Linked DNA regions of Rattus norvegicus. The main gene of each other region encodes a partner of the protein of the gene in region 3 in a complex. Links are inferred from orthologs where the notes say so. Each region holds a gene or a part of one and is shown on either strand. Other genes may lie near its edges.

Region 1 (2,853 bases), on a different chromosome or scaffold from region 3:
GTGGCCCTCCAGTTCACTATTCCTCATGGCCAGTGATGCACACTGGAAAAGCCCTGTTTGTCAAGTTGAATCATTGTCTTTTACTTAATCAGAAAATTTGAATTTTGGGAACATTAGAGGGCATGCAGGAATCCTTCAAAAGAGAGAACTAACCTCCGGAATTGTGCTCTAAGCAGAGTTGCCCAATGTAACTCACCTCCAGTATTTGTCACCTACAAAGAAATACGTCTTCTTCTTCTCCTTTTCAAAAACAGCTGCATCAATCTTCTTCACGGTGGGAGGAAAGCCAAGAGTGTGGATCCTCTTTGGGTAACCTGCTTGGACTTCATTTCCTCGGACTGCCCAGAACTGACTTCCTGTTGAATAACCACACCCAAGAAAATTTGTTCAAATGAAGCTAATTGGTTTTAGAAATGAGAATAGTGAATTGTTGCGATAAAGATGAAAGCCAAAGTCTTGTTTTTTCATAACTGCCAACTCTGTGCTTAGGACATCGCAGGTATTTAAAACAATAGTTCCTGGTTGAGTATGTTGGCACAGACCTTTAAGCCTGACACTGGGGAGTCAGAGGCAGGTGGATTTCTAGGGGTTTGAGGCCAGCCTTACCTACACAGTAAGTGAGTTTGAGATCATCTGGGGGTACATACTAAGACCTTGCCTTAAAAATGATACTTTCTGAATGAGTAAATAGTAAATGAAAAAATAGATGAACATGTTCACTGTCTTTTCTGAGTTCATTTTTATGTATTTACTCTGTATTTATATCAATTACTTATTCCCTATGAGTTATCATAACCATTTCTTATAATGACCACTTAGTCTACACTTCTAAGACTTCCCTTAAAAGATTCACCTTATAAGGCAAACTTGTTGAAGCTCAGATTTGTTTAAAATGCTCGTTCACAATCACCAATTTTGATCTGTTCTCATTCCAATAAAACATCTCAAATTTAATACAATGAAGAGACTTCATAGTGCAAAGGCGTTGTAATAAGATTTCTTTCAACAAACTTTTGTACAGTTCTTACCTTTAAAAATCAGAACTCTGTCCTTGTTATTTGCCTCATAGGCAGCATCTAAGCCTGAAGGAAGAGAGGGCCAAAATGCTGAAATCAAATGGAATTCAGGCTCGGGATTCCACTGGGTTCTACGCCAGAAGTGCCTGTAATATATGAAAACCACAATAGTCTTTCTCTTTAAAAACACTAAGCCTGGGGAACAGCCTTCTGCTTGATGCTGCTTCATCTGCAGCAGCAGTGTGCGCTGGAGTTCTACATGAGATTCCAGGCAGTGGATACAGCCCAGGTTAACAGGAACATTCACCCTGTTCCAATAAAATTCCTCAGCTCGATTCCACTCAAGAGTATGTAAAATATTATATATTTTAAGAATTTTAAAATGACATTTATCTTTTAAAATGTGAGGACCTTGGAAGTCAGTACAAAAAAATTGGTGGCAGGAGGTACACATAGGTAGGGCTCAGGGACAGCACAAATGGAAGGGATTGTTCTTACATCTTTTGATACTACTTGAGAATTCTGCATGCACATGAATCATATTTTCTAAAATGAATTAATTGAAATAATAGCACTTCCTAACAAGAATAAAGATACTTGTCTGGTTCTAAAGATGGCTGGTGCTTTTAGAAGTTCTATGAGTTATGATATATAAGAAATGAAAAATAAAAATAAGGGACAGACTTCCCTGATTGTATGGATCTTACATTCTACTTTCCAAAAATAATCATCTTCTGGGAGTCTAAAAAAATATTCTGGACAATGCCAAGGGGGTCTTTAAAAATACTCTTTAAACCAGAGCTGAATGATTTTGAAACACGCCTGAAATGTATTGTTTATTATATTACATTTATTCTATACATTCATTATATCTAATTTCAAGTTTATTTTTCTTTTTGAGCATTGAATACCAGGAGAGTAGCTAGGAAAATGTTTTTGTCTAACCTGTCTTTAAAGAATAGGAATTCCCCTCTCAGCATGGTGACTGCATCAAAGGACAAAGCAGGATCACATTTGACTGGGGTCTCAGGTTTTGGAGAGACAGAGGGCACAGGAACCACTGTGGCATCAGAGGAGGGGCGGGCTCCTGAAGGGAGAGAAGTTTAGAAAAAGCAAGTATTAGTAGGTCAGGGAAGCATGAAACAATTTACAAACTATCCAAACTTCTTCATGGTGTTTTGAGATGAAGCAGTGTGTAGATATTTGATCCTGGGGCCAGAGAGAAGGCTCAGCTGGTAGTAAAGGAACCTGCTGGAGGCCTGACAACTTGGGATGTCTCATGTCATCACCACACAGGACACATATGATCAAAGGAGATAACCCACTCCCACAGGTTGACCTTCACATGTATGCCATAGTATACACACACAGGCATGCATAGCGCTTGCTCTCTCTCCCTCTTTCTCTTTCTCTCTCTCTCTCTCTCTCTCTCTCTCTCTCTCTCTCTCACACACACACACACACACCACACACACGCACACACACCACACACACACACACACACACACACACACACACACACACACACACACACAAATAAAAACAAAGCTTTCCTGAGACTTACTGAATCACATTCTTAAAGAGCACTGACTAAAGCAAGCCCACCCCAGGCCTCTTTTTCTTCATGCTCACCATACAGGGATTGAATGCCCTCTATATCATCCTGAGAAAGGCGAATGTTGGCTTGGCTCGTGGAGAACCTGTAGACTGGGTACATCAGAGATTCTTTGTTGTTTGAGTGAAAGAGACCCAGGGAGTGACCAAGTTCATGCGCAGCAACCAGGAATAAATTGGTCCCTGTTTGAGAAACCACAAATGTTCAGAGTTTAGCAGTTAC
Region 2 (3,650 bases), on a different chromosome or scaffold from region 3:
CTCTACTCAAAGGATAAACAGGCTGAGAAAGAAATTAGAGAAATGACAACCTTCATAATAGTCACAAATAACAAAAAATACCTCGGAGTGACTCTAACCAAGCAAGTGAAAGATCTGTATGACAAGAACTACAAGTCTCTGAAGAAAGAAATCGAAGAAGATCTCAGAAGATGTAAAGACTTCCCATGCTCATGTATTGGCAGAATTAATATAGCAAAAATGGCCATTTTGCCAAAAGCAATCTACAGATTCAGAGAAATTACCATCAAATTTCCAATTCAATTTTTCATAGAGTTAGAAAGAACAATTTGCAAATTCATTTGAAATGACAAAAGCCCAAGATAGTGAAAACTATCCTCAACAATGAAAGAACTTCTGTGGGAATCACCATCCCTGACTTCAAGGTGTATTACAGATCAATAGTGATAAAAACTGTATGTTCTTGTTACAGAGACAGGCAGATAGATCAATGAAATAGAATTAGAGACCCAGAAATGAACCCAAAAACCTATGGTCACTTGATCTTTGACAAAAGAGCTAACACCATCCAGTGGATAAAAGATAGCATTTTCAACATATGCTGTTGGTTTAACTGGAGGTCAACCTGTAGAAGAATGCAAATCAATCCATTCTTATTGCCCTGTACAAAGCTTAAGTCCAAGTGGATGGATCAAGCTAAAACCATGTACACTGATACTAATAGAAGAAAAAGGGGGAAAGAACCTTGAACACATGGGCAGTGGGGAAAAGTTCCTGAACAAAACAACAATGGTTTATGTTCTAAGATCAAGAAACGACAAATGGGACCTCATAAAACTGTCAAGCTTCTGTAAGGCAAAGGATATTGTCATTAGGACAAAATGGCAACCAACAGCTTGGGAAAAGATCTTTACCAATCTTACACCTGACAGAGGGCTAATATCCAAAATATACAAAGAACTTGAGAAGTGAGACTCCAGAGAGCCAAATAACCTGATTAAAAATGGGGTACAGAGCTAAACAAAGAATTCTCAGCTGAGGAATATTGAAAGGCTGAGATGTACATAAAGAAATGTTCAACATCTTTAGTCATTAAGGAACTGAAAATCAAAACAATCCTGAGATACCACCTCACATCAGTCAGAATGGCTAAGATCAAAACTCATGTGACAGTAGATCCTGGCAAGGATGTGGAGAAAGAGGAAAATTCCTCCATTTTTGGTGGGATTGCAAGTTGGTACAACCATTCTGGAAATCAATCTTGTGGTTCCTCAGAAAATTGGACATAGTACTACCTGTGGACCCAGCTATACCACTGCTGGGCATCTACTCAAAAGATGCTCCAACTTATAGCAAGAATACATGTTCCACTATGTTCATAGCAGCCTTACTTATAATAACAAGAAGCTGGAAAGAGCCCAGATGTCCCTCAACAGAGGAATGGATATAGAAATTGTGGTACAGCTACACAATTTGTTAAGCAGCTATTAAAAAAGCAATGACTACATGAAATTCTAAGGCAAATGGATGGATCTAAAAAATACCATCCTGAGTTAGGTAACCCAGTCACAAAAGAATACACATGGTATGCACTCACTGATAAGTGGATATTAGTCCAAAAAACTTGCAATACTTAAAAAATAATTCACAGACCACATGAAGCTCAAGAAGAAGTATGATCAAAGTGCGGATGCTTCAGTTCTTCTTAAAAGGGGGAACAAAAATATTCATAGGAGGAGATATGGAAACAATGTTTGGAGCAGAGACTGAAGGAATGGCCATTCAGAGCCTGCCCCACCTGGGGATCCAGCTCATATATAGACAGTCATCAAAACTAAACAATATTGATGAATCCAAGAAGTACATGCTGACATGAGCCTGATATGGCTGTCTCCTGAGAGGCTCTGCCAGAGCATGACAAATACAGAGGTGAATGCTAGCAACAAACCATTGAACTGAGAACAGGGTCCCCATTGCAGGAGGTAGAGAAAGGATTGAAGGAGCTGAAGGGGCTTGCAACCCCAAAGGAACAATATCAACTAACCAGAGCTCCAAGGGACTAAACCACTACCCAAAGAGTACACATGGACATACCCATGGCTCCAGCTGCATATGTAGCAGAGGATGGCCTTGTTGGGCACCAGTGTGAGGAGAAGCCCTTGCTCCTGCCAAGGCTGGACCCCCCACCCAGTGTAGGGGAATGTCAGGGCAGGGTGGTGGGAAGGGGGGGTCGTTTGGGAGGGGGGAACACTCATACAAAAACAGAGAGGGGGATGGGATAAGGGGTTTATGGCCAGGAAACAGGGATAGGGAATAACATTTGAAATGTAAAAAAAATATCCAATAAAAATAAATATTTTCCTGTATACTTAAGAAAACCTAGAAGAATGCACAAGAGGTCTTGAAGTAGGGTGTGGGAAGTTTTGGGAAGAGGTACCAGCTGACAATTTCTAGGCCATTCTGGGCTTCTTAGAAAGACCCAGCCTCTCAGAATATTTACTGTTCATGTACAGAGAGGAATTAAATTATGATACTGGTCCTCAAAAAAAAAAAAAAAAAGAACTTGCCCATTTTAGGAACACACTGGGAAGCTAATACCAGATACCAAAGATGCCAAGCTCCAGAATTTGTTTTAAAAAAGGTTGAAATATATTTATCAATTTCCTGATTGTTGTAACTTTCTAAAATTTTTTTCATCAAAACTAGATAGTGATGCATGGCTCTTTGGTCTGACCTGTCTTTAAAGAACAAGACTTCTCCCCGCAGGGTGCTGACTGCATCGAAGGACAAAGCAGAGCTACACATTGGTAAGGTCTCAGGGTCCAGAGAGTTAGATTTGGTGGGTACCACGAGGACATCAGGGGATTCTGTGGGAGGTCCTAAAGGGAACAGATTTAAAGAAGCAACGTTAGAAAAAAACGTGACCTGCCTGTCAACTCCATGCTTCCCAAAAGCCCTCAAGTACTATGAATTCAACCACAGATACTCATATGGGCAAAGTCACAAGGACTCCTTTTTCCAGTTTCTCTCACCATAGAGGGATTGAATACCATCTACATCATCTTGAGAGAGATGGAAACGGGCCAGGTCTGTGGAGGACTTGTAGACTGGGTACATCAAAGCTTCAGCATTGGCTGAGTGAAAGAGACCCAGGGAGTGGCCAAGTTCATGAGCAGCAACCAGGAATAGGTTGGTACCTGTTGAAGAAATCATACATAATAAGTTTCTTATTTCTTGCCTACATGTATATCATCTAGGCCAGCTGAGCATACCATTTGTTTACTTCCTGGAAATGCACAGGTTCTTACTCACCTTGTTTGCTGCTTCATTGAGCAGTAGACTGACCACACACGCAGCAGAGGAGCAAGTGTATTTAACAACTCATGCTTGAGATGAGTCTAAAGTATGCAGACACAGCCAACAGTTCTCTTTGGCTTCAAGAAAGTCTGAATACCTGTTCTGGCTTATTGTCAGAAATGGAATGAAGACTATTACTTATTGTTTAGCATGTTAGAGCACTTTCTTTTCCATTGTCTATGAAAAACTTAACACTGCTCCAGTATGTAGTTAGCACTTGACAATTTCAGTACCAGTCAACTAATCACAGGGTATTCATCTCAATTCAAAAACCGTAATTAACCATAAGTAACCATAATTCTGTGCTTTCTGTT
Region 3 (4,450 bases):
AAGTTTACAGAAAACATCCACACCAACGAAAGGCTAGTTGCTTCTATTTTGAGTGGGAGGAAGAGGTTAGGTAACTGCTATGAGGGGAGGGAGTAGAAATACCTTAGTCATCTTGATCTCATAACGCTGGTATAAGGTGGTCTCGATGATTTCTGGGGAACCCATGAATTTAGCCCTTATAACTAGAGGAAAAGAAGGGGAAAATAAGGATTCAAATGGGCAGGCAGCATGAACCCATAGCAGCAAAACATATACAACATAGTTCAAATAGACAGCACACTTGATGGCTTCCACATCAGTTGATTCATCTAAATATTGTCTATTCTTTTAAGCACTGTTTTAAGCCCTTTTCATATATCCATTTGTTGGCTTACTCAACAAATGTTTTGGAGTGCCTGATGTATGCCAACCACTGTTCAGGGTCTTAGGGAAAGGACAATGACCCAAACACAGGAATCTATTTCCTTATGAAGCTCACATTCAAGTCAGGAGGAAACAGACTAACATTATGTAGCCAGAAATGGTGGCACAGGCCTGTAACCCCAGTTCTGTCAGAGCTTGATGGAGGATCGCTTTAGTATGAGTTCAAGACCAGTCTAGACAATTTAGCGAGAACTTGTTTAAAAATAAAAATTCACAAGAAAAGGGTTGGGTTTGTAGCTCAATTGTGCGGTGTTTGCCTAGGTCCTAGGTTCAATCCCCAGTATGGAGGAGGGAGAAAAGGTATGTGGATTGTTAGAAGCTATTAAGTGTGTTGGGAAATTAGAGAGGAAGTTGACAGATATTCTTTGCTTGACCACAATTTATTCAGGCTCATTAACCTTCTTCCAAGCTCATTAGTGAAGTTTCTCTTTCAAATACAGTTGTAGGGAAGTACCTTAAATTAGCTTAGTGAAAACACCAACCCTCATCTTATTCTCCACAGTATGTGATGGGACCACCAGACAAGTTTTCCTCAAGAGTCCTAAACTAGGTGTGGTGGCACAGACCTAACAATCTCAGCACTTGGAAGGCTGAGTGAGAAGAATCAGGGCTTCAAGACCAGCCTGAGTTATATAGTGAGACCTAGTCTCAAAAACAGAGTGAGCTTAAAGTCTATAGAGATGGCTTAATGGTTAAGAGTACTTGCTGCTCTTTGAGTTCCCAAGTTTGGTTCCTAGAATCTACATAGGGTAGCTAACAACCATCCATAACTCCAGCTCCAAGAGATCTGATGCCTTGGGAACTCCACAGGCACCCATACACCACACATGGAACACACACAAACATACACATAAATAAAATAAATCTTTTTAATGGACTTAGCCTGAATCCTCTTGCCTTTGATATTTCTTTTTGTTTAAGATTTATTTTATGTATATGAGTACACTGTGCTGTCTTCAGACATACCAGAAGAGGGCATCAGATCCCATTATAGATGGTTGGTAGGATTTGAACTCAGGACCTCTGGAAGAGTAGTTGGTGCTCTTAACCACTGAGCCATCTCTCCAGCCCACCTTTGATATTTCTTTTCAGTGATTTCCCATTCATCAACATTAAATTGTTCTTTGGCCATAGAGTTCCATTTGCCTATGCAATGTTGAAAGTTAAGCCCAATATCAATATCTATCTAAAATCAATCTCTCTCTTTCTCTCTCTCTCTCTCTGTAAATTCTGATTATCATAGTTCTAAATGAAGTCTGCCTTTCTGTGTCCTAACAAGGGATCAGAAGTACTATGTGGCTGGTATTAAAATTAAAGAAAGTTGGCAGGCACCTCAGTAAGGTGACTTTTGAGAAAGCCATGCATGTGGATAACTACAGAAAAGCATGTACATGGTACTGGGAGCAGCCAGCACAAAGGTGGGCTTAAGCCCAAGGATGTCAGTGTGGCAAAAGCAGATGTACGGAAGGGTAAGTAGAACTGTCCTAGGGACAACTACTGTAATGATCCCTACTAGACTAAGACAGACAGAAAGAGGGACAGACTCACCCAGGTCCGAGTTGCAGAAAGCTGTCTGTGGGTGGGTTGGGGCACAGCTACAGGCTTTACTGGAAGCTATCAATGATAGCAACAAGAGGATGCCAGAGGCCAGAGATGCAAAGGGCGCCATCGTGGTATCTGCTGGTAAAGACTAGGTGTTAGTAGGTTCCCAAACCAATGGCTTACATGGCCGTTGGCTCTAGGGAGACTCAGGAACTCTTTAGGTTAGAGAACACAGTTGGTGAATAAGGGAGCTGAGAACTTTGAGAATTTAACAGAATTGGGGAAATCTGACATTTGTGTAGTGATGAATTTGGAGTTTGGGAAACTGGAGAAGTATAATGGGGAGTTAGGGCTATTAAAATATAATGGGCTGGGAAGTTCAGAGATATTGGGGGATTTAGAATAGGTTTGTGGTTTTAGGGAGCTGGGGAAAATGGGGGGTTAAGGGTCTTGGGGAATTTGGAGGTTTACAGTAATAGGAATACCTCAGGAATTTGAAGGCAGAGGAATTTTTGAAGTTCCAGGAGCTAGACATGGCAAAGAGAACAGGGGTGTTACAGGAGCCGTAAAGATTGAGGGACAATGAAGAAATTTGGGGGAATTAGCAAGTTAGGAAGTTTTAAAGGCATTAAAGGCTTGTGGGTTTGGGGCACTTTGAGATGAATGCTAAGAGCATGAAAGAGTCTGGAGAGTCCCGCTGGGGACAATCATTCAGGACGCTCTCCCTTTATATTCCCCCTTGGCTAACTAGAGATCCTGATACCTGCAAGCCAAGTTGAATGGTTAGTCTGGCAAGGGACTGGATGGGCCTCGTGGCCGCACCAACACAGGCTCCAAGCAAACCCCAGTTCTGCCAGGACACCCGGCTCCCACTTACCTCTAGCGTGTCTCTAGGAGTCCGGATCAGCAGTGATGGAGGCAGGGACTGGCGGTGGAGAATAAATGTCCATGCGAGGGGTGGGGTTGGCGCGGAAATCACTGCCTCCAGGCTTCCTGGACGCATTACTCATCCACCCACTGCTGAAGTCAAAGCCTAGGGGCGGGCCCCAGGCTGAGCCCAAAGTACTCCCTCTTCTGCCAGCCAGCCCACTGCGCCCCCTTCCCCCAGCTCCGTCATGCACATTCCTTCCTGGCGGCCTTGAAGGGAAGAAGGGAAGAATAAAGACCGCTTAAGCCCCTGAAGCCTTGTGCCTCTCCGGTTTCCCACATTCCCCAAACTTCCTATGGCTGAAGCCAATAATTTCTTTCCCACGCCTTTCATCTACTATGTAACAATCTCACAAGAAGGCCTTTCCTGTGGATCTGAAATTCTGGTGAGGGGTGGCAGAGGAGAGACAAACTAGAAAAACAGTTGAGGGACATGACATGGGAGAAGGGGCACAAATACATAGTGGGGAAATTGATAACACTGAGAGTGTCTATGACTTATCCAGGATGGCAGTTGAGTGTGGCAGAACTGGGAGGGAACTGAGGCTGCATACAGACAGAGCCCAGGTAGTGACTTCTTCCCCAAACTTTGCAGTGGCTGCACATACCAGTGAAGATGTTTGAAGATATCCTTGGCTACAAGAGACCCTTAAGGTCTTAAACAGAAACAAGACCAAACAGGCAAATAGCTGAAGTGAAGAACTTTGTTAGGGTCACAGGACAATAAAGATTTAAACCTAGGCTTCCTGACCTGGAATACTAACTCAAGCAGGGTACAATCTTTGACAAGCAGGGAATGGTGTGGTGAGCGTTGCAAGGGGATGGGGGGAGGGAGGGGGTGAATGATGGTAAAAGCTAGTGAGTCAGTAGAAAAACCACCATCCCTACTCCATCCAGTCTTCCCCTTCCCCCACCAACCAGTCCACACCCCTGGTGGGAGTGGGAATGAGGCAACTGCTGCCCACCAGCTTTCTGATGATGCAGGAATATTCCCTGGGGTCCTGTAGAAGGATTCTATGGGCTGATTACCACCCTCAATTAAGATAGGGAGGACAGACCAATAGTAATGACAATGGTTTTAATCCCAGGGGGCAAGCTGATCCAGAAAATTAGAGGGTATCTAGTCTATACAGTGAGTTCCAGGACAGCCAGAGATACATAGGAAGAACCTGTGACAGAGAGAGACAGAGACAGAGAGAATGTGGTAGTGATGATCACAGCTACTTATTGAGTACTTACTGTATATCATTGCCAAGGTCTTTATGTACAATTTACTTTAGCTAATTACATTTTATTAACTTAGGTAGCTTAGTCCAATAACCACAGGACACAAAAACCTCCTGCCAGCACTCAACAGAGTATTCACTGTGTACAATACACTCTTTTAAAGGGTTTGTATTTTACATTGTGTGTGTGTGTGTGTGTGTGTGTGTGTGTGTGTGTGTGTGTGTGTGTACCTGTACTTATGCCATGGCATGCCTGTATTGTTTAGAGGACAACTTTCAGGGGACAGTCCTCCTTCCCTATGGGTTCTGAGGCTCAAACTTACCATGCCACC

The links.
Region 1: the proteins of Timp1 (region 3) and Mmp10 are in contact, whole or in part, in a crystal structure (PDB 3V96), measured with the Homo sapiens proteins. The link is inferred for Rattus norvegicus from reciprocal best matches to the Homo sapiens genes TIMP1 and MMP10. Residues at the interface, in NP_003245.1 of Homo sapiens: Cys24, Thr25, Cys26, Val27, Pro28, Asn37, Leu57, Tyr58, Pro87, Met89, Glu90, Ser91, Val92, Cys93, Arg98, Thr121, Cys122, Cys155, Leu156, Ser157, Ile158, Gln173, Leu174, Gly177, Ser178, Glu179, Lys180; in NP_002416.1 of Homo sapiens: Phe170, Tyr171, Gly177, His178, Ser179, Leu180, Ala181, His182, Ala183, Tyr184, Pro185, Tyr191, Asp205, Ala206, Ser207, Gly208, Val214, His217, Glu218, His221, Phe226, His227, Thr231, Tyr236, Pro237, Leu238, Tyr239, Asn240, Phe242, Thr243.
Region 2: the proteins of Timp1 (region 3) and Mmp3 are in contact, whole or in part, in a crystal structure (PDB 1UEA), measured with the Homo sapiens proteins. The link is inferred for Rattus norvegicus from reciprocal best matches to the Homo sapiens genes TIMP1 and MMP3. Residues at the interface, in NP_003245.1 of Homo sapiens: Cys24, Thr25, Cys26, Val27, Pro28, Pro29, Val52, Thr56, Leu57, Tyr58, Pro87, Ala88, Met89, Glu90, Ser91, Val92, Cys93, Thr121, Cys122, Leu156, Ser157, Pro159, Gln173, Leu174, Gly177, Glu179; in NP_002413.1 of Homo sapiens: Phe100, Thr102, Phe103, Phe171, Tyr172, Gly178, Asn179, Val180, Leu181, Ala182, His183, Ala184, Tyr185, Ala186, Thr207, Thr208, Gly209, Thr210, Val215, His218, Glu219, His222, Phe227, His228, Tyr237, Pro238, Leu239, Tyr240, His241, Ser242.

Annotation. Positions count from the first base shown.
Region 1 is NC_086026.1:12,977,627-12,980,479, reverse strand, and holds part of Mmp10 (stromelysin-2 precursor), read right to left. Parts: intron 2,814-2,853; coding exon 2,649-2,813; intron 2,104-2,648; coding exon 1,962-2,103; intron 1,163-1,961; coding exon 1,029-1,162; intron 357-1,028; coding exon 197-356; intron 1-196. UniProt on the Homo sapiens protein: Can degrade fibronectin, gelatins of type I, III, IV, and V; weakly collagens III, IV, and V. Activates procollagenase.
Region 2 is NC_086026.1:12,928,204-12,931,853, reverse strand, and holds part of Mmp3 (stromelysin-1 preproprotein), read right to left. Parts: intron 3,177-3,650; coding exon 3,012-3,176; intron 2,859-3,011; coding exon 2,714-2,858; intron 1-2,713. UniProt on the Homo sapiens protein: Metalloproteinase with a rather broad substrate specificity that can degrade fibronectin, laminin, gelatins of type I, III, IV, and V; collagens III, IV, X, and IX, and cartilage proteoglycans.
Region 3 is NC_086039.1:3,768,257-3,772,706, forward strand, and holds the start of Timp1 (metalloproteinase inhibitor 1 precursor), read right to left. Parts: upstream 2,867-4,450; 5' UTR 2,843-2,866; intron 2,493-2,842; exon of another isoform or gene 2,451-2,492; intron 2,104-2,450; 5' UTR 2,093-2,103; coding exon 1,972-2,092; intron 183-1,971; coding exon 103-182; intron 1-102. UniProt on the Homo sapiens protein: Metalloproteinase inhibitor that functions by forming one to one complexes with target metalloproteinases, such as collagenases, and irreversibly inactivates them by binding to their catalytic zinc cofactor.